3 linked regions of the Daphnia pulex genome follow. The protein of the gene in region 1 purifies or fractionates together with the protein of each later gene. This does not show direct contact. Links are inferred from orthologs where the notes say so. Each region holds a gene or a part of one and is shown in the gene's direction. Other genes may lie near its edges. The genes, in order: dnaJ homolog subfamily A member 2-like; endonuclease G, mitochondrial-like; nuclear migration protein nudC-like.

Evidence for each region.
Region 2: the proteins of dnaJ homolog subfamily A member 2-like (region 1) and endonuclease G, mitochondrial-like purify together in Homo sapiens (affinity purification with mass spectrometry; 3 studies listed by BioGRID and IntAct, with this or other methods). This does not show direct contact. The link is inferred for Daphnia pulex from reciprocal best matches to the Homo sapiens genes DNAJA2 and ENDOG.
Region 3: the proteins of dnaJ homolog subfamily A member 2-like (region 1) and nuclear migration protein nudC-like purify together in Homo sapiens (affinity purification with mass spectrometry; 4 studies listed by BioGRID and IntAct, with this or other methods). This does not show direct contact. The link is inferred for Daphnia pulex from reciprocal best matches to the Homo sapiens genes DNAJA2 and NUDC.

What each region holds. Positions count from the first base shown.
Region 1 is NC_060020.1:3,554,110-3,564,769, reverse strand, and holds dnaJ homolog subfamily A member 2-like, read left to right. Parts: upstream 1-4,177; 5' UTR 4,178-4,276; coding exon 4,277-4,345; intron 4,346-4,535; coding exon 4,536-4,822; intron 4,823-4,886; coding exon 4,887-4,967; intron 4,968-5,030; coding exon 5,031-5,164; intron 5,165-5,221; coding exon 5,222-5,364; intron 5,365-5,425; coding exon 5,426-5,566; intron 5,567-5,635; coding exon 5,636-5,821; intron 5,822-5,908; coding exon 5,909-6,100; 3' UTR 6,101-6,459; downstream 6,460-10,660. Other genes in the region: protein kibra-like, read right to left, coding at 1-421, 498-754, 834-993, 1,132-1,335, 1,415-1,524, 1,981-2,105. UniProt on the Homo sapiens protein: Co-chaperone of Hsc70. Stimulates ATP hydrolysis and the folding of unfolded proteins mediated by HSPA1A/B (in vitro).
Region 2 is NC_060024.1:9,162,131-9,172,150, reverse strand, and holds endonuclease G, mitochondrial-like, read left to right. Parts: upstream 1-5,432; 5' UTR 5,433-5,584; coding exon 5,585-5,857; intron 5,858-5,916; coding exon 5,917-6,328; intron 6,329-6,389; coding exon 6,390-6,408; intron 6,409-6,483; coding exon 6,484-6,769; 3' UTR 6,770-6,918; downstream 6,919-10,020. Other genes in the region: stress-induced-phosphoprotein 1-like, read right to left, coding at 6,976-7,048, 7,110-7,273, 7,340-7,443, 7,499-7,660, 7,735-7,912, 7,969-8,238, 8,295-8,428, 8,486-9,059 and 1 more. UniProt on the Homo sapiens protein: Endonuclease that preferentially catalyzes the cleavage of double-stranded 5-hydroxymethylcytosine (5hmC)-modified DNA.
Region 3 is NC_060028.1:841,689-852,557, reverse strand, and holds nuclear migration protein nudC-like, read left to right. Parts: upstream 1-4,219; 5' UTR 4,220-4,355; coding exon 4,356-4,430; intron 4,431-4,503; coding exon 4,504-4,581; intron 4,582-4,597; exon of another isoform or gene 4,598-4,833; coding exon 4,834-5,226; exon of another isoform or gene 5,227-5,233; coding exon of another isoform or gene 5,234-5,259; intron 5,260-5,323; coding exon of another isoform or gene 5,324-5,633; intron 5,634-6,809; coding exon of another isoform or gene 6,810-6,893; exon of another isoform or gene 6,894-7,047; intron 7,048-7,255; coding exon 7,256-7,653; intron 7,654-7,680; exon of another isoform or gene 7,681-7,727; coding exon 7,728-7,779; 3' UTR 7,780-7,896; downstream 7,897-10,869. Other genes in the region: calphotin-like, read left to right, coding at 1-252; TGF-beta-activated kinase 1 and MAP3K7-binding protein 2-like, read right to left, coding at 1,390-1,597, 1,798-1,999, 2,098-2,464, 2,534-2,919, 3,027-3,504, 3,562-3,672; uncharacterized protein LOC124208453, read right to left, coding at 5,234-5,259, 5,324-5,633, 6,810-6,893; guided entry of tail-anchored proteins factor 1-like, read right to left, coding at 7,934-8,113, 8,209-8,442, 8,821-8,889. UniProt on the Homo sapiens protein: Plays a role in neurogenesis and neuronal migration. Necessary for correct formation of mitotic spindles and chromosome separation during mitosis. Necessary for cytokinesis and cell proliferation.

The sequences.
Region 1 (10,660 bases):
CTGGCAGATAGTGAACGGAGCTGCCCTTCTAAAAGTGCTACGTTGCGCAAAGCTAATCTCATTGATTGCAACAAAATTTGTTTTTCTTCGTGGAGTTTAAGTCGATCGGCTATAGTTCGATTAGAAGCTTCTAACGCTTGGCTAAGATCTTTCTCAAGCCGTTGAATCTTGGTTCGAACCGTTTCCATCTCGGTTTTGGAGCGCGACCTTGGTGCGATGCTGCGCAGTTCCCGCAGCAGTTGTTCTTTCTCCTGAATGAGCAGAAGTCGGTCTTTATCAGATTCACTCTGACCAGGAGCGATTCTATCCTCGAGTTCTGCCATTTTCTGTTGCAAGTATTGCAAATGTTTTCTTGCTTCGTCGTACTGAAGACGAGTTCGGGCCATTTCAGCCAAGCGTGTTCCGATTGGAGCTGATTCGCCTGAAAAAATGACAAATTTAGCGTAAAACTGATGATTTCCATTATTGTTTTTTTTTCTCCCCTAAATTAATCCTACCTGATAAATCTGTTTGGGAGGCTGTGCTAAATTTCTCTTGTGGAAGGGATAACGTTGATAAATCTGGAGACATGTCGTTGTTCAGCGGCTTCAGTCGGGTTAAATCGTCGCGCAACCGTGACAACGAAGCCATTAATTCTGCTTTTTCTTTCTCGCCGCTTGATAGCGAGTGTTGAATGTTGCGCAATTCAGCCATCATGGCTTGTGCTTCTTGCAATGTGTAACCACAAGGCAAAGAAGACAATTTAGTCTCAGCTCTGTCAAGTAAAGAAAATGAAAAGATTAAGATAGGTTCTATGACAATTAAGATATTCTTCCTTTAAAGAGCTAACTTACTGTGAAAGCATGTCGATACCCCGTTGCTGATAGGCGAATTCAGCTCTGGCAACATCTAAATCCCGGCGTAACCGGGCAACTCTATTTTTAGCTAAAGCCACATCGGCTTTTAACAAATCCGGATCAAATTTAGTGCTTGACCCACTGCTTGTGGAATTCACTGTAAAAAAAAATTATTCCGGATATTTATTATATTTGTTAGACAAAGAGGATGGGGGTGGGGTGGCAATGAGATGTTCTAACTAAGAAATATCCCAGCGCCTGTGACGTTACATTATCGAAGAAGAATTTCACTTACATGATGTTCGCGAAGCATCAAGCCCTGTGTAGGCATGGCGAAGTAGATGAAACTCATCTTGTGCAATAGTTAATCTTTGTTGTTTAATATCCAAGATCTCTTTCTTGGCTTCAAGGTCTTCTTTGGCAGTTTGAAGATATTCTTTCAGCATGGCTTCTTGTATAGACCTCCATTCTAGCCGAGGGTCTTCTAACTGATTGGTCTCTGAATAGGCAATTTAAACAATTGTTTGTTTGCTAGGTCATGTAACTCTTGACTCTTTTTTCTTTTTTTTTTTACTTACGGGTTATGTGGTTTGTGTAAAAAGGTCCAACCTGAGAGTCATATGATTCTTCCCAACCTAAAGGTAATTCATTTCCAACACAGTCTGCAAATGTTTGCGGCTTTATTAACCTAAATAAATACCAAAAAAAATCCAATACTTGATTAACACTAGACTTTATAAATAATTAACTATTATTTTAATTGCATATTTCTTTGGAATCTAACACTAATTTTAAAACACTATTTTTTCTATTAGGATTCAGTTGAATTTTAAATCAACAGATACTTGGAATGTTTAATTTACAATATGGACGTATAGGAAGTATGCGCAGCCAAAACAAGGATATAGCAGTTCAGTTCAACATTTGTTTTGGGGACATTTCTCATTTTTTTTCATGCATTTCCCAAAAGCTATGGCTCAACTTCAAAATAGAAGAAAAATAATCCAAAAGTTCATTGGAATTATTGTGTGTGGACTTGACAGCCATGTTAGCATTCCACAATCGACAACAGGTCTCAGCATCATTTGAAGGATGGGCCCAAAGAGAATAATTCAAATTAATAGTATCTGAAATGTTAACAAACCTGTCTCGAGGATCAACCCAAGTTGTTTTCTTGCTGTTGTGATCAATAAAGTACACTTTGCCATCGTAATCTCGACCAAGCTCCCATCCTTGAGGCAAAGGGATCTCACCATTACGCTTGGACATGTCGATGGCAATATTTCCAACAAAAGTACAACAAAGAACAGAAGAAAAATCATTCACTAACACATTCACGGTATATTCGACGCTGTTTTTGCACTGAAATGTCGAATGTTAGATGCAGAATTCTGAGCTTGAGTCAGGACGTCGAGAGTTTCATTTTGTAGATAGCAGCGCCATTTTATTTGTGACGTCATTGGAATGCGACCCATTATCATAACACAACATTTTCCCCAACGGTTTTTAAGTTCGCATTACCATGAATTTGCAGGAAAACCCAGAAATTGACCACGGTGTCTCAACAAGATGATATCGTTGAACTATTTCCAACACTTTTTAGGAGTGAAAATCACTTCTAAATGTCCAAAAATTCCAAGTTATGCCGAAACACCAATTCGAGCGAAGCTAAAGGTGCATTCCAGCTAGGAATTCCTCCTTCAATGTTAGACTCGACAATTTCGAAGCCAATAGTGCCCTCCTCCTACGGAACAGCAGATGTCGTTGTTCTCAGTAATAAACTGGGAAAAACGCAGAATATTTTCCTAATAATAATGTACCAGTCGCCAAACATGAACTGAAATCCTCGTACCAAATGGCTCGTGCTTTGAAAATTAAAGCTCTTTGTTCTCTCTATCAGTTCTAATCTTTGGCGCTTTACACCGTAATTATTTCCTTAATTCAGCGGAGATGGATGCATTTCTTCTTCACACGACAAAATAGAATTTTAAAAAAATAAAGAAGTAAGACGGAATTCATAACGAATAATTTTCATTGGCATGTTCTTAAGTGTAGGTTGACAGCAATTTTACGAAGATACTCTGCACTATTAAAGCCAAATGGAAATGGGAAGAACGCTGTTCGGCAGAGACCTAGACAAAAACGTCTAGGAATGTGCACTATCAACTATTCCCCTGCCGCTACCGCCGAGCCAAAAACAAATTATTTTTCTCCGTTCATACGGAATTTGGTTCGGCTAGTCTAAGTTTAATTTGCTTTGATAAATTATTCGAGGAGCATTGCATTGGCTATGAACATTTTTCAAATATTTTTTCAGTTACCTGTATAAAACTGATTATGAAATCCAATACAACAATGCGATAACTAGAGGTTGTTACGATTGGATCAACTTTATTTAAATATCAAGCACATTCGTAACACCAACTTGGCACAACGTATTTTCGAATTTTGTTTGTTTTTCGAGTCTGGAAGATAACAGGAAAAACCTCTATGTATGACATTGACATGCTCATCCCTTATCACGAGCAAATTAGTAAATTCTAAAATTACAGCTCACTCTTATAATCAGTGCAGCATATAAAATTTACTTTATACCTATTAACTTCGACTTTCGCCCCATTGTTAGTGATCAGAGACATAAATTTTTTCTCAGATGAATACAAACTGCAACAAAATATGATATAACCTTGAATAAAAAAGAGATAAGCCATGGGCCGTGGCTTTCCTCGAAGTCTAATAATGGCTCCGAATTAAAATTTTTTATGAGCGCAAAGCAGGAATTTGTGGGTTCGGCAGGCATTCTAGGCATGTGGTCGATATTTTAACCATGTTTATATGAGCTAGTAATTAATAAGTTGCAGAACCACCTAGCCTCAATGAGTACCGAGTTGAGTGTTCTCTCGTATTCTGCCACCGAAAACAGAAAATTCATTCTCCCATCCGAAAGAATGAGGCCATTGCGCAGCTCGGGATGAGAAAGAAAAACATGGCAATGATGCTTTCACCGATAACTTGATGTACAAGGCCGATTCTTTCTTTGGACAAGAGCCAATCATCTTTCAGTAACCATCTATGCCCACATAGCGGTAGGGAAAAGAACTCATCAATCAAATAGAACTCAATTAACGAAGATGGTGATGTTTTCCCATCGTTAATTCTTTTTTCATGAAATAGTACAACAAAATTTGACACTAAAATTTTAGTTTTCAATTATAATAAAAGGAACAAAATTCATCTCCCAACAAATAATTCCCTCCGTCTTAAAATTGGACAAGTCGCCGCTGGGTGACTCTAGCTGGTTTCCTTAATGATGGTTGCCTCAAAAAGAACCAACTTGCTGTCCTCACTGCCCTCAGAAGGAGAGTGGTGCGGCCTTTGGGACAAATTAGACCTACCATTTTACTAGAAGTTCTGCAATCTTGCTGGTCAAAAAATCTGCGATGGCTGACAATGCTCTTTACGAAATCCTTGGTGTCCCAACCAAAGCCACCGATGCTGAACTCAAAAAGGTAGTTATGTGTTCGGTGTTAATTTTGTGAAGCAAAAATATTCTAAAATCCGAAATACGACTCTAAATTCCAAGAACAAACTATCGATTTTTCAGGGTCATGTCGTGGCATGTCTAGGAACAATGGCTACTTATCTAGCAGTTTTGTAATGACAACTGATTTCTGCTAACATGTTCTCTATCTGTTTTAGGCCTACAGAAAACTAGCCAAAGAGTTCCACCCTGACAAGAACCCTGAGGCTGGTGAGAAGTTTAAGGAGATATCATTTGCCTATGAAGTCTTGTCTGATCCAAAGAAGAGAGAAGTTTATGACAGACATGGACTGAAAGGATTGCAAGAAGGTGTACATGAACATGGTGGTTTTGGCGCCGATGATATCCTGTCCCATTTCTTTGGTGGTGGGTTGTTTGGAGGTATGGGAGGTGGTGGTCGTCGAAAGACTCGTCAAAGAGGAGAAGATACTGTGCACCCTCTCAAGTAAGGCTCTTTGTGCTGTGTGCAGCTTTAGTTTCTAGGTTTTAACATGTCTTTGTATGTTTAGAGTGACATTGGAAGACCTCTACAATGGAAAGACATCCAAGCTCCAGTTGAGCAAGAATGTCATTTGTGCTCTTTGCAGTGGGTATGTGTATTTTTATGTCATTTGATTTGGCCAGTATTTTACAAATTTTTTTTTCTGTTACAGGCAAGGTGGCAAACCTGGAGCCAATGTTACTTGTGCAACCTGCCAAGGTCGTGGAATAAAAATTTCCCTGAGACCACTTGGACCTGGTATGATGCAACAGATTCAGTCAGTATGTTCAACCTGTAATGGAGAAGGTAAACAACCATTGGAAATTTTAATTTTCCTTGTCTAATGTTGAATTAATCTTACAGGTGAGATGATCAACGAGAGAGATCGCTGCAAGGCTTGTAAAGGCAAGAAAGTACAGAACGAAACCAAAATTTTGGAAGTTCACGTCGACAAAGGCATGAAAGATTCACAGAAAATTCTGTTTCGCGGTGAAGGTGATCAACAGGTATTTTGCACTACAAACATTCATTGATCTGCAGTGTCTTATAACTGTGATATTCCAATAGCCCGGAGTTGAAGCTGGCGACGTAGTGATAATTTTGCAACAGAAACCCCATGAAAAGTTCAAGCGACAAGGAGACGATCTTTGCGTGATGCACACTATAACTCTGACTGAAGCATTGTGTGGGTTCTGCTATGTGTTGAAGGTTAGTTGTTGTAAGATTTCTTTTCGACAGATTTTTTTATTCTACCGTTTTATATTTTGGTGCCAATAGCATCTCGACGGCCGTGATTTGGTGATCCGACAAGCACCAGGAAACGTAGTCGAACCCGGCAGCACTAAGATGGTGCCCGGCGAAGGAATGCCTCGTTACCGTAGTCCTTTCGAAAAAGGAGAGCTGTTTATTAAATTTGACGTAGAGTTCCCCTCTAGCCATTTTGCTGATGAATCAACAATTATGGTACATTAATTCTTGAAAACCAGTTGGGAGTGGATTAGTTAATGAAATAACAAAATGTTCAATTTTGTTATTTGTGAAATTCGATAGGCGATCGAGAAACTTTTACCCGGACGACCCTCAGTCATTCCACCCTCAGGAGAGCACGTCGAGGAGGTTGACCTTCACGATTACGACGCCAATGAACGCCGTGACGGAGCTGGCGGACCCAGCAACGCATATGATTCTGACGATGAAGAGGGAGGTCCATCAGGACCAGGTGTACAGTGCGCCCATCAGTAGATTCACAAGCGAAAACAAGTCGATCTTGTTTTTCGTATTCGGCGATTCCCTTTCCTTTATAACCAAATTTCAAATCTTGAATTATCTTAAGTTGAAAAACATTTTCCTCGACTTTAAAAAAAAAAAAAAATTGCTTGTCGTTCTGAAAACATTTGTTCGTCCAGTGTAGCAAAATTAAGAAGTGGGGGGTCGACTGTTCACCGTCACGCTGGTTAGGTGAATCGTTGCCTTTCATGGCATATAGTGAAAGAACAATCAAGATTACTGTTTTTCGTTTGAATTTGTACTCTGGGAATCTTGGCCCCCCTATCTCGACTTGACATCCTTTGGTAAACACGAAATAAACGATGTCACTTCAAGCTTTCAAGCTTGGTTCTTTTTCTGTAGCCCTTCCCTGTCTTGTCATGTTTACTCATCATTACTCATACTGTAATTAGGATCCGTTGTGCTGCTTCGCCATTGCTAATGATGTCACTGTTCCAATTTGTAGAAGAAAACGATGCGTTATCACAGGTTTTGTTGACTGCAGATCATTACCGAATCCCTACATTTAGTCAATCACCAAATCTTGATAACTCAATGACAATAATGGAAACATTGTGGCAAGACTTAAGCAGAGCTTATTTTATTTTGGCTGTCATTTCGAGTGACTTAATCAAAATTGACGATTGGGATGTGAGTGTGTGCGTTCTCCGTTTGGATGTCGAAACTAGAATAGCATCTGAGTGCAAAGGCTTCCGGATAGGGATTACACAGAAAAACGGGATCACGCTAGTTGCGACTTGAGGAAATCGGCATGTCGAGTTTGAACAATAAATGATGTTGATGGCTGACAATTCAGACGTTCAGTTCAGCCGAACTGGGAAGCTCATTGAAGCATTTATTCTGTCTTCGCTTGGCTTTTCTGCATTGTTCACCGTGACGTGTAATCTAGGCGGAGCATCAGCGAAGAAAAGGCAGTCGCTTTTATGGCAATTTTTCTTCATCGTGAAATGTGTGTTCAGCTTGCGCTACTTTGACAACGAAAGGATTTTGTAAAAGATTTTCAAAGGATTAGAGGCAGATGATGCAGCGATTCGAACGACAATGGATACAGAGCGGTCAAACAACATTCAACCATTTACATCAATGTGAACTCAAAAAGTGGAAAATGGAAGAAAAGAAACGAAAGATGTTTTTAGTTTGGTTTGATAATTCACCGACAACACAATTTCATTTGAGGACATAAACATGTAACATAACATAACTGAATAATATAGCTAACGTTAAAGCAAGTTGCACGTCTTGTTCTCCTTGAAGGGATTTTCGGAAGGGGAAATGCCCGTGACGAGTACATCTGTTTTCTGATGTTCTTGACAATATTTGATTAACCTGCAAACAGAAAAAAGAGAATCATAGAAAAGACATAAAAGTTAGTAAAGAAAAAATGCGCCGATTTCGATTGAGTCGATCGTTTTATTGCATATGTATATAACTCGCATCTGGGTGTAAGATGAGCCATCCCCATATGCATATTAAAATAACATCTAAGCAATTCGAATTCATAAGCTATGTTCATTCATCCATCGTCAGAAGCAACCAAGGCCCATTGGAAGCTCACGATGGTAAATAACTTTCAGCCATGATATCAAATGTCAGCGATCGATTCGTCGATTGCTCCTAAAAGCCCTTGTGTATTTTTTCCCCGTCTGTCTAGGATATACGCGCTCTAGCATCCCCTTATTGCTTTAACATCTATCCCTCCCGTATGGCATATACTGCACATATCTGCAATAGACGGAGAAAGAAAAAAAAGGGGTGCGAGCGAGATTTGATGGTAGAGCACCTTTGAAGCCGATTTTCATTTCAATAAAGTCACGCAACATCAAACGAAAAACTCTCCTGGAGGTGAGATATAGGGACAACAACCAATAACAGCTGCGCTTCATCACCAGCAGCAGCAGTCGCTCGGGGTACAACAAACAATAATTTCCCCCCATATGAAATAACAAAGATATAATATGTGGATAATGTGATTCCAGCAGCCATGTGTAGCTACTTAGTGTCCGTTGCACCGACCATCATCAAACAGCGACGATATATAGACACCCGTGGAAGTCTCTCATCATCTATATAGCCTTGATTGGTTTCCTCTTCGGCGTATATATTATACCGAAACAACAACGTGATTGACGTGTAATTGGGACGGCCTTCTTATTACGTCTGTTTCCCTTTTGTCTGATCGGAAGCGCTGCTGCTGGGCTGCTGTTCTTTGGTTTGCTGCTGGATCGTTAGTTCCCAATCGCTTTGTTGACTATAACTTTGGGGTGGTATTGATGCCGACTCAAAGCAAAGGTGCTGCTGGCGGAAAGAGGGAGAAAAAAAATCAAGGGGAGCGTGACATATGAAGGTCTTCTGTTGATGACGCGGGTGGTGGCCCTATAAATCACGCCATTTAGAAAGGAAGTTCCAGCGCATTGAGATGACGCGCCTACCCTTTTTTTTTCTTATATGTGTATACGCCACCCTGTTGTTAATATATTCCATGAAGCAATCGATGCTTGATGACGGAAAAGAGAGCCTGGCCTGACTCGTTTGCGAATCCATCAGTGCCATTACCATGTATATCCCAGGCACGATGATGAGTGGGAAGGAACAGAAAAGTTGTTTTTTATTTTTGTCAAAAGGCACAGCGTCGTTCAACTAGACGCTAATTAAACTGTCACTCAATACAAAACAAGGCGCAATGGCGACCCGCTTCAAGCCTTGATTTCATATAAACTCCCGCTGCGATCCTGTATTAAGATATACCTCTAACAATCACTTTGCACTCAACCAGTGGAAAGGTTTCCGAGAAAAATCATTCAAGTTTGTACGGTTGATCTGATTTGTCACGTAATTATTTTGTTCATTAAAAGATATGAGAGATAAAAGGTAAAGTTCAATTAAATTAATTTTCTTTTTTTCAAATGCAGATAATATGAACTGTAGCATTTAAAAATGATAGCGATGAAAGTGGTCCCGGACCGCATTAAGCTTTAAGCTTTTATTTCAGAGCCCGGATACTTTTACATCTAGCCATTACATCTCATGGCGCACTCAATGTGAAATCCTCGAATATGATGACAACCGTTGCTAAGCAAAGCAATATGTTAAAAGAAAAGGGGGGAAAGAGATATCTATATGTATCCAGCACTGTTATTCTTGGAGCAATTGATTATTATTCCTCTCATGCTGTCTACCTGTCGATTCTTCCTATCAGTTTCCTTATTCTATATCTACGTTCGGTCTATCATATCCTCTTGTTTCTTCATTATTATCCTCTAATTGAAACCACGGCGACGACTATATCGTCATTTCAGTTGCTATGTAACGATGAACAATAATCTCTTCAATGCATGGCCAACGGTCAACGTGCAATAATAATCCCTCTGAAATTTGCCAAATCCCCATTGTATAGTATAACTTAACTGATGAAGAATAAGACCTGACGTATATCAATCTGCAGATGAGTTTGAAACAAACATATACGCGTGCATGAGATTGCGCTGCTGTTGTCTGTCTGTGCTGGCTGAAATCACGAATGTAAAAATAAAGCCTCTCTTCCAAACAAATAAGGCGTTGTGTTGCGTATTAAATTTAGACCTGACATGTTTGTCCGGCTGCCACCGTGTATAGCTCTCTCCGGTGCTCACTCAGCAGCTCTAACTGTTGCGCAACGCGCTACAGCTGGTCATCATCCTCCTATACGTAAAAACATATCTCAAAAAGAGTCGACCCAAGTAAACAAACGCACGATCCCATATAGACTAGACAGCAGCAGCTTTTGTTATTCATAAGAGAGAAATATCGACCATGGATTGAGCGCCATTCGTCCATCACATCGCGTCCAGCTTAAAGTACCTAATCGGATCATCATCCGTAAAGGGGAGTTGTCTTCTCCTTCCTCACGTTCAATAATCCCGCCATAATCATAAAGTGCCAGTCTTTCCAACTAATCACATTCGATGAACAATACCGCCACCAAAAACCCACAGCCAGTAAACTGTAATAGCAACTGTTATCCTATATGGCTGAACTTTGCTGTCGTATAATTTTTTCTTCTTTCTTTCTTTTTTTTTGTTTTTAAAAGCTCAGCTTTGACGTGAGCGCCTTTCCGGTCGTCGCATCGGATTACGTGGAGCCCGGGCTGTTGTTCTGCTGATCAATGGTAACGAGACCCAGTAACAACCAGGCCTTTGTTTATTCGACGGCTATATAACGCGTGCGGGTTCACCCCTAAGGGTCCAATCAAAACTAGTGGAAACTTGAAGGAACTTTTTAGACTCTCCACTAAACATACAATATCGTGTATCCGTCTGTCAGGGATCCGTCCGTTCATTCATTGAGCACATCCGCCATCAAATTTCTTAGCCTTTTTAGTCTGGTTGAACCCGGTCGACCGTAAATGGCCAACCGTATTGTTTAGTTTAATTAAAGAGCTTCTATTGTTATAATGAATTCCATTAATAAAAGTGGCGAGTGCACTACTTACTCTTCACAGGCTTGAGAGACTTGAATCCTTTGAACACTGGCCTCCTG
Region 2 (10,020 bases), on another chromosome or scaffold:
CTTCAAGCGGATGCTAAACACTTCATACTGTTACAATACATAAACAAGCTTTGTGTAAATGGATTTATGTTATGGAGCTTTCAACCTGGACCGAATTTTCTGGAATTCAGAAGAATGATTTCAACATGATTGGCAGAATTTGGAAACTACCACCCTCAGGTGGTAGTCCGGGAACTGGCGGAAATTTTCCCGACTCTGATATGCGACATTGATATAGTAACAACTGCATTCAATTTTGCTTTTGTTTAGCAGTTGGGTCAAGGATATCCATATCCCAGTCACTATGTCCCAATTGCTACCAGCCTGCCACAAACTGCTGAATACTACCTATTAATCACAAATGACATCATGTTGAAGTGTGCTGAACCGCTCACTTGGATGACTGCCAAATAGACGACGAAACGTTCCAAATGAGCAATGGTAAATTCAAATTTAAAATCGAGCTGTTCGCATCCGACAGCAATACCAAATGCGGGAGATTATTTTTTTTGAAACTTTTACTGTAAGAGAACAACTGGCATTGACACGTTTTCGAATTCCTGGGACGGGGAGGTGGCCTGGATTTGCCCACCAATACGAGAGCTAATCAAAGTCATCAGGAAACTAAAAACATCGAAAATAGCTGTAATTCTATTTATCCCGGAGTGAAAAGACTGCCGACTACTGGACCTATTTAAATGGTACAATGTGTAAATGGAATGTGTTTGACAACAGTAAGTATTCTATTGTAATGGAAATTTAGAACTGCTTTTGTAATCAAATTCAATTGCAAAGAGCCAATCGGAAAAACAGATTCATAAAGCGGTTCATTCAGAATTTAAAAAAAACCTTAAACCGAGTTTTCTTTATCAAATCTACTGGCTAGTTTTTGAGAAAAATCGTCAAATAAAAAGCAAATCAGCTTCATCAGAAACAGGTTCATCTAGGTAAATTTGTTCGTTCAGAATTTAAAAAAACTTTTTTAAATTCGTGTGAAACCGTGTTATCTTTATCATATTTACTGGTTTGTTTTCTAGCTAAATTTAAAATGAAACAGCCTCCACCCATTGAGGATATCAGGTAAACTGATGGATGATTTTGATGAAGGATTGTTTTTGTAAAATCTTTATCTTTCAGAAAAAAATACGAGTCAGATCTACAATGGAATCTGAGGAGGGCATTCATTGAAAGAAATGAAGAGAAAATGGAGAGACGCAAGCTTCTGAAGTTGTCCGGTAACCTTATGAACATGGAATTTGTTGGAAAGTAAGTAGCCTATTCTATTGTAATGGAAATTTAGGACTTCGTTTGTAATAATGATTAATTTCTAAGGTTTCGATACCCCATCAAAGTTTACCATGAACTCAATAATTTGGCAGGAAATCTATGGGAAGAATTCAGACGGGAGAAGAAACTTGCCAGGATAAGGGATTGCATCTCAGAGGGGAACCTTTTTTAGCTAATGGGAGGCTATGGTAAAGTTTTTATTTATAGTCAAATTAATAGTCAATTAACTGCATAAAATAAAAATGACAAATTTTAGGGAGACTGAAATTCTACTGGACGGAAAACTGATTGCGTTTGCCGACCATAGATCTCGGAATTTGTCCATAAAACTCGCTTTCGAGTCCTCATTCTGGCAACTCCAACAATCCCAATTGTGGTCAATGACGAATCCTACGAGCATGTCGAGGATTTCGTTTTTGTATGAATCCATGAACCACGTTGCTTTTTGCTACCCATCCCTCTATGCTAACTTCGCATTCCAAGACTCGCCTATGTAATATTACTAATTCTATCTTATCTTAGAATGTTAAATATGTCTTGATTTCATTTTCTTATGCATTCGTTACATTGGATTCGAGGAAATGGGGTTTGGGAATAACAGAAATTATTTCAATCTTCCATTTGATTTTTCACTTCAGGCTCAGAATTTTTTGAAAAACTTCGTTTCTGAACAGTCTTTAGAAATCCTTGATTTTTCGACAGAATTGTCTCGTCGTCAAAGAGATATCGTTGGCGAGTAAATACAAAATATTTTCTGTAAATATTTGTTTTAAAATTAATTTCACTTTCTGGTTACAGGCTCGCTTATGCACTCAATCTAGATGTCTGCAAAGTTCATTATGGTAGAGAGGATCGGGTGCAAGTCAAAGTGATGCATTGCCTCCTTCATTTGGCAATGGATATTTTCTGGTTGATGTACCAAGTGGTAGAAGAAGAAGATGACCATCCAATCTTTAGAAAAGCATTCTTGTGCAACCGCAACCTCATGTAGGATATTGGGCAAATGCGCAGTACCTTTTCTCTCTGTGTACAATCTGGTAATGCTGATATCTGATCAAATGAGTCTTCAGATACAAATAATGGCCAGACCTATTGCCATGCCGGTCCGACAGGCGGACAGGGCAATAGAGGGCTTTTGCCTTGTCAGTATTAATAACCCCATCTAGTGACGGCTATTGCATTTTACTTTGCGTAGGGGAGACTGGAGTAACGCGGGGCAGTTTTTGTTTCTTTCCCTTATTTCCCAATTTAATCACCCTATTTATTTATTTTTTTTTACATTTTATGTATTTCACATGTAAAGGTACCGGGTTTGGGAACGATACTTCTAAAAAAGTATGTTCGTTAACGATAGCGATTCTTCGTTTTTTTTCATGTTCGTTAGTCGAACGATAAAGTGAAAAAAATTCATCGGCAAAAGAATACTCTATAGAATTTCGATACTAAAAGAAAAAAATTTAGGGAAAATTTTAACTTAAAAAAAACATTATTTTTCTCGACAATTGAGACAAACAACGAGAGAATTTCCTGCCTTTTCTGTAGGCCTATGAAAATCGAAATACTTAGAATGAATAAAAATATCACTATATGGGACATTCGAAAAAAAGTTTTGCTTAAAATTCACTGATATTCGGTGAAATTACAGCTATACAAAATTCGTCTCTTTTTTCTACTTTTGCTTTCTTAAAAGTATCGGTATCGTTCATCGAACGATACTCATTTCGATAATCGAACGATACCCATTTTGAAAAGTATTGCGCCATATACTAGAAACAAATTAAACAAGTATTTTTGATGACGTTTTCATCGTACATCGAATAGATAGTCTCAACCCTGAAGGTAACCCCCATATTTTTTTATTTAATTTTAAAGTAAACTGTTTACCCGTAGGAGACGGATAAAGTTGGGGAGGAGCCTATTTTGAGAGGTAAGTGAGGACACTAGGGTGGGTAGGACATTTGCTGTATAAGCCTTAAAATTTTTTAATTTGTTTTAATTGAAATCGTTTTTCCCTACATCAATTCTACTGTCATCCGTGAAAGTTTCTTGAACAGGCAAATGGCTCTCTATGTTTTAAGTTTAATTTGACGGAAGGGATACTACGGTGCCTTAGTACCGTACCCCCGGTATTTTACTCCCTTTTCTCTTTTTCTCTATGTTCTTCTCTTCCTTTACCTACGAAAGAAAAAAATAAAAAGGCGCAAAATCCAAAAAAAAACGACCCCCATCCCAACCGACCCCCCGCAAAAAAAGAGCCACTTCCCACCCACCACCCTAAAAGAAAACCAACCCCCTTCCCACCCACCCCCTCAGTTCAGTGCAAACAAGTAATCTTGTTTTTGCTCTTGATGTTCATAAGATAAAAACATTTTTGGTGGCTCTTAGTATAAAAATCGAATAGGAGAGAGTGGGGTTATTTGAACCGGCTTTGGTTTTCTCGTATAGGGCCTTTCCTAATATTATATTGTATTCGTCTCACTTTTTTCTATCTCCAGTTTTTTTATTTTATTTTAGAGTAAATAGTTTACCCGCTACCAATTTTTAAAGTTGCGGAAATAAAAGAGGGCGAGGAAAAAATCGGGGTTTGTATGGGACAGGGCGAAACAATCTAAATTTAGCACTAAAATATTGTAATCAATTAACTTTAAAATTTCATGCTATTATATTTGCCACCTAGTATTTGTTTTTCGCTATGTTTTTAGGTTATTGCTAAATTAAGAAATAATTTTTTTTTATATTTTTTTCTCAGCGTTGCCACTGAGCTAAGCTCCGCCCATTACAGACTTCTTTTAGTTCCAATTTAGAATTTACCCCACATTTTCGCCCCAAATATCCCCCCAAAAACGCTTTTGGGAAAACTTGAATTATACAACACATTTTTAACAAGCGATTTTCCACTCCATTTAAGCTTAATGTGATTCTTTATCCTAAAATACCGAATTCATCTAGAATTTCTAGATTAGGCAATTTTTTATATGTTTAATTTTTTGAAAATTGCGCCAAAACACAAATCAAATGTGTTTGTAATTACTTATTTTTGTTTATTCTATTTTAAAATATTAAAAATGAATTTTAGAATTTTAAAGATGAATTTTTAAATTTATTAAAATTTAATCAACCACTTGTGACCGAAAATATCGATTCAAAACGATCGATTTCGATTACAAACAAGTAAACAACTTACAATTAAATCAATCCAATCATTTTGAACAAACCTGCATTCAATATCAACAGACATTAACGTGGCTTCGAAAACACATTTACTACACAACCACATATTACGAATGAAAAAGGCCTTCGGGAACCTCTCCAAGAAGCCTCGGCGCATTGGTAGCAGTTGAATCTGAAAGCAATCCCGCCGTCAAGAAATGTGAACGTCACTAGGTGACTAAAAAATATGTCCAATAGGTAGCGCGAGCGTAATCGTGAGAAACGGAATTCCGCCATTTTTTGCTGAGAACATGAAGTACCATGGCCTACTGAACCCTAGGCCGGTGGTCGAGCTATACCCCTGTAGTGTAGCTTTTTCAACCCATCCCCTTCCTTTCAACCTTCCTGGGAAGTGGCGCACCTAGCGCTCAAATTAGCTTATTAGCTTTTCAAATTCCATTCTTCCCATTGCCATACACCTACTACTTCATAACTTTATCGAAGATTGGAGGAGCCTTGGCTGATCAGCCGATGAAGTGGATTGACTCTTTTGGCTTAGAAATGTTGGACGAATTTAAGGTTTTTCTCAATTTGCTTTTTAATATCTGTTCTGTTATTAACTAAAGATGTTCTGATACGTATTGGTGGCCCCTTGCCCCCGGAATTCGGGGGCCAATAGGGACAACCAAAAAAAATTTGGTCGGATGGCAACGGCTGCATTGGAGCGATAGTAAGGATAAGAGTTGTTATTTTTCAAAGTGATCTTAGCAAATTTAATGGAGAGAAGACAAAAACTTGAAATTATTTGGATAAATCAAAGAGGCATCTTGGACTCTTCCTCCAACACTTCATACATTATCCAGAACAAATCCATGAGTTTAGGGGAGCACTTCATTTGCGTAACGTGTACACGAGTGTCTGGCCCCTGGCCGATTTTAGTGGCATCCAGGTTGAGTGAACGAGCCTTCTTTATCTATGCTTCTACCATGGATTTAGTCAAAAATCGCAATGTGGCAACTCCCTTGATGTTTGAAAGCCCTCTCTGGCGGCTAATGCTATATTTCTCCAATTGCTTTTAGTCTACATTGTCTATTGTGCGTTGTGGTGTGCATTTAAAAATTAAGTTGTTCTTTTTTACTATTGTCGGAACCTAAACACAGTATTTATAATGTTTCGAATGAAGTTTGTTACCGTAACAAGTGTTGCCATAGGAGGATATTTGGCTGGGCTCGCAACCGAGAAATTCTATCGATCCCCAAGTGTAGATTTAGAACGTACTGAAAACTCAACATCCAATCATAATAATAACCTCTTGCCTATGCCGGGCTTACCAATATTTGGTACAGTATCCGCTGCTTCAATGGTACCTTCCAAAGCTAGTTTTAAAGAAGTGAAAAATATTCCTCCTGAACCTTCTAATAATGCCCCTAGAGTTTCTCAGGTATTAAACAAAGTCATGGGATACAACAAAATTTAAAGTAAAATTCCGACAATTATTAGATAATGAGATTTGGATTCCCTGGACTAGACAATGTACGGTCCCTGGATGATTACGTATTGTCATATGATAGAAGAAATAGAACTGCTCATTGGGTGTTTGAACATTTGACAGCTGATTTTGTTGCTTACAATGAGAAAGTTGATCGATCAAAATGTGATTTTGCTGAAGATGAATCCATTCATCCTTACTTCAGATCATCAAATGCTGACTACAAAGCTAGTGGCTTTGACAGAGGTCACTTAGCAGCAGCTGGAAATCATCGTAAGGATCAACTGCATTGCCAGCAGACCTTTCTGTTATCCAACATGTCACCACAAGTTGGAAAAGGATTCAATCGAGATTCATGGAATAGATTGGAGAGACATGTTAGAAATCTCACTAAAACAAACAGAAATGTATATGTGTGCACAGGTAATTAACATTGCTCAAACATTTCTTTATGGAATCAATCTGATGACAAATTTGTTTTTAGGACCACTCTACCTGCCCAGGTAGATGATTATTACATGAATGCTTACTCAAACAAATGGAAATAATAATTATCATTGTATATTTTCTTAACTTAGGAAGGAAGATGATGGCAAAATGTATGTAAAATATCAGGTAATTGGCAAGAATCATGTTGCAGTGCCTACCCATTTCTTCAAAGTCGTAGTCATAGAAAATCAGAAACAAGAGCTTTCTTTGGAATCCTATGTTATGCCAAATCAACCTATAGATGACAAAACTCCACTGTCTGTATTTCAAGTACCTCCAGAAACAGTAGAAAGAGCTGCTGGACTTTTATTTTTTGACAAACTGTCAATTGACAAGTTAAAAACTATAAATGGCAAAAGCCAAGTTTGGTTGTAATTTACAGTGCATACATGATAGTACTACAACCCATTATTTGAGAGCTTTGTGAAAAATAGTACAATCATGTAAAACAATTAAATTTTTCATTTCAAATATTCTTTTTCTTTTATATTTCATGAAAAAGAATACAAGAATTGACAATCATATCAATCAAAATTTTGACTCCACTTGATTTCTTAGAAAAGTAAGCATGGTACAATTAATTAATGAATGGAAATCAGTCCAGATTCAATCAGCTTCTGGATTTTAGTAGCAATCGCAGGATTTTTTAGATGGCTAAATTGAATAAACAATTTGTTAATATTTGCATCACTCTTAACATACATACGCTACTTACTCTTGCAGAGCACGAGGTTCATTCTGCATTTGTTCTAAAATCATACGCATGGCAGGGTCACGCAATATAGCTTGGACTTCTGGATCTGCCATTGCTCTTTTGCGCACTTCCTCAGGATTTGAGTTAGTTTGCATCATGCATGCGCGGTAGCCATCAAGCGCTTCCTAATATAAAAACACAAGAAAAAGTGAGTTGATTTTTCTTTAACCAACCAAAATAAATAAAACTACCGAGGCGTTTGGATCAAGCTCCATAGCTTTCTGAAAAGCGGTAGAAGCCTTACTATATTGCTGCATTCCCTGGAGAATCTTTCCTTTCCTAATCCATCCCTTAACTAAAAAGACATTAAAAAATATCAGACTGCGCTATAGACCAAAACATTTTCTTACCAAATGATGGTTCAAGCTCTAAACAGACATCACAATCTTTCAAACCTAAATCAAAAGCTGCCAGCTTTGTATAGCAGGCAGCACGATTACTGTAAACTTTAGCGTCGCCAGGGTTACGCTTTATCGCCTCCGAGTAACATTTTAATGCATCAGCGTATTGACCTATGTAAGGAAGTTCAAGAGAACAAATAATAAATTAACTGAGTTTACTTTCTCCTTCCGGAAAAGAGATTTACCTTTACGAAAAAATTCATTTCCTTTCTCCTTTTCTTGCTCTGCAATTTCCGGATTGATGTATGCCTTGCGTTGTTCCTCACGAAGCAAACTTTCCACTTCAGATAGCAATGTTTTTGTCTCTGGCGAGCGGAACTCTGAGAGTGATTTTTCGAAATGTAATTTTGCATTTGCCAAGTCCTTAAAGAGAGTGTTTTAAATAGACGTACAGTAATAGTTTGAATAATGTCAAATACCTTTAGCTTTTTATACGAGTTGCCAATTCGCGTATAAGCTTTGGCAATTAGCTTGAAGTCGGCCCTATTTTCTCTGCCAATGTCAATTGCTTGTTTACAAAGTTCCACACATTTTTCGTAATCCTTTTGTTCAAAATAAACAGCAGCCAAATTCGTGACATAAGTCATGTCAGTTGGATCTAGCTCTACAGCCTTGTTGTAGTGTTCTATTGCAGCAGCAAAATTTTTCTTCTTATAAGCTGCATTTCCCTTTTCTTTTTCATCAAGAGCCTATTAAATATAATTGTTGTTATCATAACTGAGAAAATCACACATGTTAGGCATACCTTTTTCTTCTCTTCTGGTAGAGCATCATATTTGGCTTTTTCCTCCCTCTTTCTCTCTTCTTCCTCCCTTTTTTTCTTCTCTTCTTTCGGATCAAGTGGTGGTGAAGGTTCTGTGGTATCCATTGGTTCATCTCCTGAGAAACATCTCCTTTTCAGTTACTATTGTCCACTACTTTGTTTTCACATAATACCTTCATTTGAAGCCTCCAAATCCACTCCTAGCAAGACACTGAGGGTGGCCAAAACTCTTGGATCACCCAATTTGGTGGCCATCGCACCTGGATTATTTTGAAGGTCTTGGATCAACTGTCGATAAGTTGGATCTTCAAACATTGCTTTTGTTTTTGGATTGTTCTGTAGTTTGTTCATGACATCTGGTCCAGCAAACGGATTCATGAGTTTTGCTCCTTGTGATCCAACCTTGTTCTTCACTTCAAGAAGACCTTCTTTAAGTTGTTCATTGTTTGGGTCATACTTGAGTCCTTCCTCATAGGCTTTTTGAGCTTCAACATCACGGCCAAGATAAGCCAATGCAGCACCTTTTCGTGAATGACCCTTACCCCAATCAGGCTTTAATGAAACAGTCTTCTCAGCATCCTGTAAAGCTTCCAGGTACTTTCCAGCTTTCGCATATGCAGCTGACCGATTGCTGTACAGAACATGATTTTCTGGGTCTATAGCCAATGCTTCTGAGTAAAGGGCTACAGCTTCATCTAATTTACCAGCCGACAAGGCCGCATTTCCTTGATCTTTCAATTGAGTTGCCTAAATTTATAGAACAAATGTAATGATCAAAAACCCTAGTTCTTTCAGTTTTATAGTACAATACTAATTTCCATACCTTGTTTGCCATGATAAAACAAGACAATCGCGATCAGAAGGTACGGATGAAACGTTGATGTAAATTCACACGCCTGCACACTGTCAATGAAACGTTTCCAAGTGGGGAATGATTTCGATACTGAGAGCGAGGGACACGAGAAACTTCGCGAAAAGGCTTACACACGATACAGACGACGGAAGGTTCTGGATTTCTGTCCGCCGAAATTCAAAGCTTACTAGAACTACGGCCAGAGCAGCAGAGCTTACAATAATAGTAGCGGTAGATTATGGAACCATTAATAGCCACTTTGTGCAATTAAAAATACATATCAGTGAAGCGTGGATAATTTAATGTATACATTTATTTTCCGTTTGAAACTAATGTGAAAGGCAATTATTTATTTCTTGCTTGAGACATTTATTCTTCTGCCTTCTAAAATGAGCAACTAAAGCCGCCATGAAAACAGACGTCATCTAGCGGCTAATGCTCTCCCTTCATTATTTTTTACGAATTTTTCAGCAAACGAAGAAATGCATTTTTTGAAATTTGAAATGAAACATCCTGTTGAAGAAAAAATTTGAAGCGTAGCTGTATGTTCGTTTATTATTTTTCTGTCTGCGCCTCCTCGGAGCTATTGCTTTAAGTCATCGATTTTTAGTTAATTTTAAAAACAAATACGATAATAATACAAATGCTTTTTTATTGCTTGGAGAAAAAAGGATAAATGCGGATAAATGCCATTTCTAATAAAAGAAGAAAATTTTAAAATAAAAACATTTGAATTTTTTATTAAATACTTTGTGCCAAACTTTTATTTTTTCACTGGTTCACTTTTTAGACTAGTAACATTGACATACCAACAATTTGTCTATCACTGGAAAGATGCGTAACGTTCATGAAGAA
Region 3 (10,869 bases), on another chromosome or scaffold:
GATGAGACCAAGAAGGGCACCGACTGCAAAGTCGAGTACATCCTGGTCAGCGACGCCTCGCCGGAAGCGCTGGCCGCCGCCGCCGAAGAGAAGCGCCAACAACAATCAGAGTCCTCCGCCGTTGTTGTCACATCCGCCGATTCCGCCGACGAGCCGAAACCAGCCTCGGCCCGTTTCGAGTCGCGAGTCAACAGCCGCACAAAGTCCAAATTCGGTTTGAGATCCCTCGGTCGCCGGATCATCAAATTTTAAAATTTTAACACAAAATTTAAAAAAAAGCCACGCCCCCTTTTAATCAACCCCCACCCCCTCGATAAAACAAAAAGTGCCTTTGATCAAAGAAAAAAAAACAAATTTCATTTTTTGATCCGATCAAAAAATTCGAAAAAATATTTTGGAGACCACACCCACAATACGCCATCCAGCCACGCCCTTTTATAAAAATCTCCAAAATATTTTTTTGATCCAAGTGTCTCGATGATGATTTTCCATTGATGATTGATTTAATTTTAAAAAAAATTTTCAGCAATTCGTTCTCCCTCTTAAAGTTATTTTTTGAAAATCGAATTTAAACTTTTTGATCGGTTTTTTTTCATGTTTCACGCTCACGAACACAAAATCAGCGAAAAAATTTTCTTTTTTTTGGGACGGGATTTTTAAAGAAAAACTAAAAAAACAAAAAATCCCCAGTCGAAAGTTCGCGCGCCCACAGCGTGAAAAGAGACGAAAAAACAAAATTTGTCGGTGATTGGTTATTTAAAAAAAACAAACAAACAAGCGCATTCTCTCTCTCCCGCACACCATTTCTGGCGTTCTTAATTATTATTATTATTTAAAAGTTTCTAAAAATTACTTTTTTTTCTTCCTCCCAAAATGTTCCATTGCGTGTTTTTGAGAATTGCAACCCCGCCTCCCGTTTTTTTCTCCACCTTATCGCCCAACCCCCAACCCCTCATGTTAACATGTCGTTCGATTTTCACTAATCGTTAATTATTATAATACACACTGTGTTCCGGATTCATAAAAATTTCTAAACAATTTTAATTTTTAAAAAACAAAAAAGCTAACGGAGAGTTGAACGCAAAATGATTCGACGGATGATGATTGTATATGAAAAATGAACCAATAATAAGTATATCATTATAATTTATGTACACACGGCGAAATTCGGGCTATAGGGAGCGACAGACGCAAGAGGACTGTGAAAAATGAATGAAAATAATTATTTTGCTATATATATAATGTTCATTCATTGAATAGAAATGATATTCGAACGAGCTGCTTTTCTAGGAGACAAGAAGGAGATTGAAAACGAAATTATTTAAAAAAAAAAAAAAGAAAAAACACACACCCATGTTTTTTTTTTAAATCACCGTTTCCTTTCGGGCATTATTTCACTGGTGATTGGGCGGCCAGACCGTCCGACGACATGGCGGCTGATGGAATTTTTCCAGAAAAAAAAAAATTAAAAAGAAAATAAAAATAAAATCCATGAAAGAAGCGAAAACAGGCGGATATGAGAAAAAATCCAAAGTTGACATTTTCGTTGTTTGTGTTTTGTTTGTTTTGTTTTAGACACCCCACCCTTGGATCGTTCCTGGAACAGAAAGAAGTTGACGGTTACGGTTAGTCGAGTCTATAGCGTGTGTGTGTGATTTTTCTAAGCTTTTTTTAAATAAAAATTTAAAAAAAAAGAAGCGGCAATTTCAAAAAATTTCTAACGAAAAGGCGGGAAAAAATGTTTGAAAAACGAATTTTTTCCAATCAAGCCAAAATGAGGTGAGGTTTGGTATTTACGCGGACGGTGACGGACGTGGATGTGAATGTTTCCCGGCCTGCGACTGTACGGTATAAAGCTGCGGACGGCCATCACCCCTGCTGGGAATAGAGAAAGCCACAACCACCACACCCGGAAAAAGAGGACAAGAAATTGGTAGAATAAGCAAAAGGTCAGACAAAGCCAATAAAAGCACAACAACAACAACCTGGCCAGCTCCAGCTGCGTCCATTCGAGTAAGCAACCCACCACATTATTATCATCACCAATATGACTACAAGTAGAATTATGAGTATCGCCCTGGACGGGCAGTAGGTCACCTTGTTGGGTCGAAGAGGTCACGATGGGCGACGACGACGAAGGAGAAGACGAGTGGCCCGGCTGGCCGGGTGGCGGCCGAGGCGAATCGCACTCCTCGCACTTGCTCAGCGCCGGGTGGTTCTGGAAGGTGCAACGGCTGCAGTTCCAGCCGTCCGACTCGTCGTCCTCCTCCGTCACGGTGGCAACCAGAGGAGGCGGAGTCCCGTTGTGGAAAGTTGGAGTGCCGGCCGAGTGAGGAGTCGACGGAGTCGAAGGCGGATTCCGGATGTTGTTGTCGCTCTGTCGAGTGAACAGCTCTTGGCACATCCGCTGGCACTCCTGTTCCAAATTGCGGACTTCGCCTTTGAGATGTTCCAAATCAACAACCTGGAAATCATTTGGAATCAAAGAAAATCAGAAAGGATTCATTTTAAATCGATAAAATTCATTTTTTACGGCTTGTTGGCGCTGGATTGGATGCGGGAAATGAGGGAACCGGACAGCAGGTGGTAGCTGCTGCGGTTGCTGGATCGGTTCTCTTCGGGGTAGATTATTGGTGTCCAGGAGCTGTTTCTCTTTGGTCAATTCTTCTTGAAGGCGTTCGACTTTCTGGCTCAGCGAGGTCAGCCGTTGGCGATCCTCGGCCAGGGATCGACGCAAAGACTCCCGCCGTTCGCATTGCTCCCTGATGTGCTCCGCCTGGTCCGGTAGACTAACCGAAGACATCGAAGGCTGCTGTTGGCTCTGCAGACAGTTTATGCTGCCGGAATTCGGGGTCGGTCCCACACCGTAGTGCCATGGGGAGAGTATGTTTGACCGCTGGACGGCCGAAACTGTTCCTCCTGTTGTTTTGTCGAGTCAATCAAATGGGGCAAGAAAGTGGGGGGGTTGAAAATATAGAATACAATCAATTTGAATTTTGGTGATCAGAGAGGAAATGGATCAATACCTTGAGGACTGATTGTGATTTTCAGTTGAGAGTGCAACCCTCGGTGGTGGTCCGTCGAGGCCGACGAGTAGGTGACGTAAGGAACAGTGTCAGGTTGCAGGATAACGTTGACTGACGTGGACGATCTCGGCTGATCGCAAAAGACCTGGACTTGGGACGAGGCCCCTCGTCCGCCAGTGAGGTCTGGAGGCGGCAGAGACAAGTCGATATCGGGTCGGTAGAGTGGGGACGTGTAGATCGGTGGACTAGGACCGGTAGAGGCAGCTGCACCCACTGGGGGAGTGACTGGCAGTGGCGGAGGAACTTTGGTTGGTGTCAGGCAGTCAACGAGGGGTTTGTGTCCACCATCAAGTGGTGAATTCCCTGCCGACAGGCTTTTGGGGGGACCCTGAGGCATTTTCTTGACGAGGGGAAACCGTCCATACTTGGGGGCTTCTTTCTGCAGCAGGGCCTCTGCAGCTCGTCTGTTGTAACCAGCCTGCACGAAACCACATGGGTTAACTCGGGTGAAAAATATTACACTTCCCAATGTTACCTTTCTGATGCAGTCATTGACAACTGCGTCAGGTACTTCGGGGAAACCTTGTTTCACCTGGTAGAAAAGTTGTTTGAGAGCAAATTGTGTAAGCTCAGTGTGGTCCATCATTGGCCGAGATCCATTCAATCTGAACAAACAAATGATAATGAGCATGTTTCTACACATGGAAACAATTGTTTTAAAGGACAAAGTACCTGCGAGGATACTAATGTCTAGCATCGTTAACGTTCGAAGCGTAGGTGGGAATAAACAATAGTAGACGAACGTAAAACTTACAAGGGTTCATCGACTTATTGAACCATAACCAATTTCAACGCAATTAGTTAATTGGTGGCGAACAATTTAGCTTGGGGGATAAAACGTATAAAAGGCTTAAATTCCTCAAGAGAGACCGTTCAGAGTTGGGGAACGGGTCTTCTCAAATTCCCATAAAACTCACGTCAGTGTTTATTTCAGGATCGCCAATATCTCCTACCATTACGGCCATGTTTTGGTCAAACGACAACACTGTGTAATTTTAAGCAAAATAATTTATTAACATGTTACTCAATATGAATACATTTTTAATTGCCTTTAATAATTTAAAATTAAAAATTTGAAGTAAATTACACGATAAGAACGTTATTAATCATGTTATTTATTTTTACATCGGCAACATTGTTGGTTTCTAGGCAGCGTGTTTGCTTACTTTGCTTACGTCGTCGGCTGTTCGAAATCGTTATTGTCCGAATTTGGCCAGAAGATTCTGGAATTTTTAACACGTGAAACTACTTTTTAATTCGAATAAAATAATGGCTGATAAATCAGAAGCGTTTGATGGCATTTTGCTGTCCATTGCAACTCAACATGAAGGCGGTGTTCAGGATGTAAGTTTGCAATTTTGTCGATGCCTAGTTTGTTTTGATTAAATATTACATTTTATTTTTATGACACTTGCAGTTGTTGGACACATTCTTCAGCTTCCTGTGTCGGAAAACAGATTTTTACACTGGTGCAGGAATTCAAGCAGCTGAAAAGGTAACAACGACCAACATTTCACGTAGCACTAGGCCAAAATATATTTTTCGTGAGGAACAAATCATGAGAAAACTGACAGAATTCAAGAAAAACATGTCACACAAGTTTATGAGTAGAGGGAGAAAACATGGAGCGAATAAATATTAATAGAATGATTATATTGTGACATAGTGTGATTTGGTCTCTTGCGAAAAGCTTGTGTGTTTTTGTTTTCTTTGTACGATGAACTAACCTCTTTCCTTGTTGCTCCAGTTGCTGATGGAAAAGTTCAACAAATACAAGATCAAAGCCGACCAGGAAACAGCCAAGAAAAAGGCCGAGATCGAGGAGCGTGAAAGGAAGATCAAGGAACGCCGGGAAAAGGAGTTGAAACAACAACTGGAGGAGCAGCAAAAGAAAGAAGCTGCCGAACCGAAAATCAAAGAACTGACGGATGAAGAAGCTGCCGAGATGGTGGAGCAGCAAAAGAAGAAGCAAGAGGAATCGTCTAACGAAGTAGCCAAAGTAGCCTCCAAGGAAGTCGACAGCACCAGCAAAAAGGACGAAGAGGAAGATCCACAGGATGCTGGCAAGCTCAAACCCAATGCCGGCAATGGATGTGATTTGCCAAACTACCGATGGACTCAAACCCTCTCAGACATTGAGGTAAGTCCTAAACTTGGCTGCCATTCATGTAAACTATAACGAGAAGGGGAAAAATTATTTTAGAAACTCTGACCACTAAGGGTTATTAACACTTTACCTTCCATGTAGACAATCATTCCTACCAAGGCCAAGAGTGCCAAAGTGCAAAATGTCATAGACAATTGACAAGTGGTGGGTGTCGTTCTGTGAGTGCGGACGATAACGCCCGACTCTCCCAGTAAGGTGAATCTCGTCGGGGTGTCGCACCGGTCGTAACCGAAACTCCCCGTAACGGACATGGTCAGCTCGTTGCTGCTGGACGTTGACGAAGGCGGTGTGGGTGGCAGGCTCATGCTGTTGTGCACGCTACTCTCTTCCTCGGGCACCTGGATGACGGTGAGAACAGGCCGTGGGATGTGAAGCGTCCCCTGTAGTTTCAATGTCAGGAAAAAAATAAGTTACCAGGAATTTCTTTCTTTTTTTCGCCCTGAAATGAAGACGAAGGACAGGCGCCGTCGTTTCGTTGATCCCCCACAATGATAGATACAGCCAGAAGGTTCAAGGTTGTTGTTTTGTTGTATCGCAAACACAGAATTAACCGTATGAAGGGAAAAAACCAGAAATAAGCGCATAGGAAGAAGAGATTTTTTGTTTCTAAATCTATTGTAAAGCATTTTGTATTTATGTGGGCCCCTCGGGGCGAGTCTATGTACTACCTAGCTCTCTACAATCCTCCTAGCTGTGTGTGTAGGGTGTGCGTCTCCGTACCAGCCGACTGGTTTTATCTTTGACGCGCCAAACAGGATAGCAACTGGTCTGTGGAATTCCGGATCTCACGAAAAGAAAAAAGAAAAGAACTTTTTTTTTTTCTTTTGTGTTGCGCGGAAATTCCCCTCGCCTACACCCGGTACCTTTCTTTATTATACACCAGTCGGACAAAATTCCTCATTTTGTTTGATTGTTGGACGTCGTGATGACGGCCATCTGTCCCTTTCTCAGAGGACATTTGCAGAAGGTCAAAAGTGCGCAAAATAAAACTCTAAAAGGTTCCCAAAAGTAACTGAACTTTTTTTCTGTCTTGTTTGTGTGTTTCCCACATGTTTTTACTTTCGTTGGTTTCGTTCCCAACAACCTTCCCACTCCTGCCTTGGTTTTTGGAAAAATACTACTACACTATTCTCTTTCCCCTCCGAAAAGGGCAGAAGATAACGGGTCTGAATTCGGTGGTTAAACAACGTAGGCAGAGGGTTTTCCGTCTATACTTACTACACCAGCAGCAGCAGCTAAGAGGAACTGGTTTTCTTTATCGCGGACAGAGTCAAGGTCAAGGGTGAGGTCGTTTACCTCTTCCATTTCCCACCTTTGTATAATGGCATCACGGGACTACATGACATGTGTGTTGACAACGCAGGCAACAGAGAGTAAGCTTAGTCGTTGGGTATTTAGTAGCTATAACCAGAACGTTAACCCCGGCAATCTTCTCCGACCTTGACATTCCGTCAATTTCAACCATATCGCATTTCTCTTGGAAATCTAATTGAGAATCAACGTACCTGATTTGATTTGAAAAGGTGGGAATTGTTAAAAATTCAACTGAGACTGACCTGCTCCTGGTAGTGGTACTGGTGAACTTGGGGGATTTGCGGGAAGAATTTCCTTGTTTGACTCCAATTCCCGTTGAACGTCATTTTTCACTTGAATTTCCTGGTTGTGTTGGCCGTGTGTTATATCTGACTTTGGCGGAAAAAAGGCGACTGGAAAGGTGGACTCTCTCGGCATAACTGATCCACGACCTCTCCTTCCAAACGGACCAAACCCCCCTCTCTTCTTTGCTCTGCTCCTCCTCCTTCTTCTTCCACTCTTGCTTTTTACTTCTCTTATATTCCCCCTTCGCCACACCAGTCCCTCCCAACAGGTACAACACCCTATACAGTATAATCTTCTAAAACTGTCTGCAGCGCCTAAGGGGGGTCATTGAAAAGTTGATTAAGTTAAACCAAAAAAATGATTCAACCTTTTTTTGTTTTTTGATTTTGTTGTTGTTGTACAGGTGCGGATCCCGTTGCCCAAGGCCGGACTTCGTTCCCGCGACTTGACGGTCGACATCCAGAAGAATCATCTCAAGGCCGGCATCAAGAATCAACTGCCGGCCGTCGTCGACGATCGACTCTTGCACGACGTCAAGATTGAGGAATCAACGTGGCTGATTGAAGACAAGCTCACGTTGCTCATCACGCTGGAGAAGGTGAACAAGATGGAGTGGTGGAGCCGGCTGGTCTTGTCCGATCCGGAGATCAACACCAAAAAGATCAATCCCGAACCGTCGAAGCTGTCCGACCTGGACGGAGAGACGCGGGGGTTAGTCGAGAAGATGATGTACGACCAGCGTCAGAAGGAAATGGGGCTGCCGACATCCGAAGAACAAAAGAAACAAGATATGATGAAAAAGTGGGTCTTTTAATAATAATCATAATAATAATAATAGTTGTGTTATATTCTAAACCAAATTATTTTCATCACAGGTTCATGGAACAACACCCCGAAATGGATTTCAGCAAGTGCAAGTTTTCCTGAGCGATATCAAGAATTGTTTTACGAGTTCTTAAAAAAACAAATTTCCATTTCTACACAACAAAGAATTGCTAATTAACTTTCCTTCTTATTTCTTCCAAGAATACAATTCGAAACCAATTTTTTTTTTTTGTTTGTTCACCACGTGTGTATGTTTTTATTTGATGAGTGCCCGACAGGCGTTGTTGCATATAAATAACCAGAATACAATGCTGAGGGCTCCTTCGATCCCGGTTGGGTAGCTGAGCAAGAGATTCAAAGGCCAGAACCAGTCGGGGAGTCCAGTCAGAACTGGTTCGTAGCGTTGAGTGACAGCCAGGTAGACTAGGACGGCACCCTGTCAGATATGGTAAAAGGAAGAATTCAGGAGGGGTTGAGTAACCAAAGTTCAATGACATTTGAGTTGAAAGAAAAAAAAACATATCACATTACATTGACAACTTGGATGGCTTTGGTTAGTTTCCATCGGACAGACTCCCTGCCGTCCATCCTCGATTGTCCAAGGGATTGAATCTGTTCGTCTAGTTTGTTCATTTTCCGCTGGATTCGGGCGTAACGTGCGAATTCGTCCACGGCTGAGATGCCAGTCAGCTCTTTCCTGAGTCCTCTGAATTCTTCACGAATCTTCTTTTCCTCATCACTAACCTTGAATACAAAGTGTGTTCCCTATAAAAAAAGAAAGAAAATCTCGTGTAATCAACAGTCGAGTCAAGTGTCATCAGTCACACTACTTTTTGCACAACAACCACTTTTATCTTGATTAGAGCACACTTTGAGACCTCAATTTTAATTCAACATTCTGACGGTATTGTGAAGTGTCTAAACTTTCACACACCAAGATTAATTTATTCAGATATTTTTATCAGAATAGAAATATACATTAAACAATGATAGGGTTAAAGCTTTAAGGTTTAAGGACATATTTCCAATATTGAACTCGAATATTGATTTCTAGCAGCAAGTTTTCTAACTTCCAAACTATTTTACTCTAACTGAATATTGAATTAAGAATCGAGTATCACAGAGACGAGAAATTGTACTCACCCATTTCACAATACTTGGTAACAGTGATCCAATCAAAATAAATACAGCAATCATCCAAAAAGTAAACATCTTTGAAAAACAAACTCGAGACGCCGAAAAGAAAAACGTCAACTTGACGTCGTCTGCTACACATCGATTATTTTTGTTAATCGATTTTTCACCGGGAAAATTCAAAATTAAATGAAATTAAATGAGAATTATAGTTTCTATGGCGTGATTTGAACAGCAGTGTAATCATTTGCGATAGTGCAATACTATAACTCAGTTATTTAGCTTGGAAAAGATTCGACCCATAGGTTCTTCCGTGGTGGGAGTCACACTTACCAAACCATATATAAATACGATATTGCTTGCACAGTCACGAACCTGAATTGACTCGTACCTCTTCCTACTCTTAAACAAGCTATTATAGTCGAACTGTTGTTTCTCAAACCAACTATTTATCCTTTCGGAATATACGCACACAGAAGGAACTCAAATAACGATTATAAATCTTTTAACATTCCAACGAAGAATTTACCACGCAACCTCACGCAGTAAATCTGTTTTCCTCTATCGTTTATTTCCACTGTACTGCAAATGTATTAGTCACTATATTTATTTTTTTACTTACCTATGAAGCCGTGCAACTCGTAAAATTATTCCCACTACGTCGGGTCTTCCCTACAGGTAAAAACAGCTTCCGCCACCAGAAGCGATCCTGTGGCAATTGGTGGAACTATAAGCTTTTGTTTATACCTGTTTTGTTTTAATTTGATAAAATTTGTTTGTTACTTTCATTACATTTTTTCCCTCAAATTTTATTGCGCAATGTTCGGTAATCTTTTTCCCTTTCGTCTTCTTTACTTTTCAGGGTATCATTTTGAAATTCTAGCAGAGTGGCGCAATCTTCTTCCCTTTTTCGACACATTAGTGTTATAGCTCTTCTTCAACAAGAAGTATAGAACCTTCGTAATAATTCGTTTCGTACCATCCGCATGTATATCTCTTTTCCAACATCATCCCAGACTGTGAGAGAATCACATCTGGTCGATTTTTCTTATTTTATATTAAGTGCATTGCACCGGCGAGTGCACAACCGTGTTGCGACATATCTCGACGACGAACGGGCGACGTGAACGGTTTCTTTCACGAATTGATTGGAAACTCGCCAGCCAAATCTCGGAACGATTCAACTGTGACGGGAATGACAATGAGTTCGATTCTCTATTCTCTAGAAATAATCATTTATTTCTTATAACCTGTATAGTACTCCTTATTGATTTCAAATCTATTCGTCGAGTCGCCGAGTGGTTGAGCAACCAACAAAGTTCATTGACCCGTCACGGCGGCAGCTTTATCGTGCGATCGGCAGGTTCTTCACAATTCTATCGTGAGCATACGAATCTCATCTGAATAGACAGAGAATAAGAATAGAAATATCGGCCGATTGTCGTAAATTTTCCAAGGAAAATTTGGTGGGAGCTCCCAGAATTCTATACAGATGTGATGGCCCTGAGAGTGTAAAGCCGCGTTCGGGAGCCGCGTGAAAGCCTTCTCTATTATTCAAACAATCTGTCTGTTATTACCCAAATGTATATATACTGAAATATTCGAATAGCAAAGACTCTGATGCTGTTGCTGGGCCACTCACATCTCTCCACACGCGTTTGGATGACAATAACGTTAAGTGCAGCTTCCTGGGTTTTTTGGGGGGGGAAATCGGATGGCGCGGGAAATTTGAATGTGATTCGCGTAGGAGTCAGGTAGGCGTGTGTGGAGAGCGTTTCAAAAATTTAGCACTTCAATATTCATGGCAGAATGGATCCAACGGAAAAATGTGTTGTGGAGAGGTGAGCCTGTGCAAACACGGTGGCCTTGAGAGTTGAAGTTATTTCGACGAGATTTTTAAATTCATTTAAATCTGTTTTTTTAAGATAATTGTGTAAATTTAAAACAACTTTAATTTTGTCCAGAGGTTCCTCTTTTAACAACGTCACCTAGGCAACGAGCTCAGTAATATATGCTACCATCTCGTCAGATATAATTACGCCAGACATTTTTGTTTAA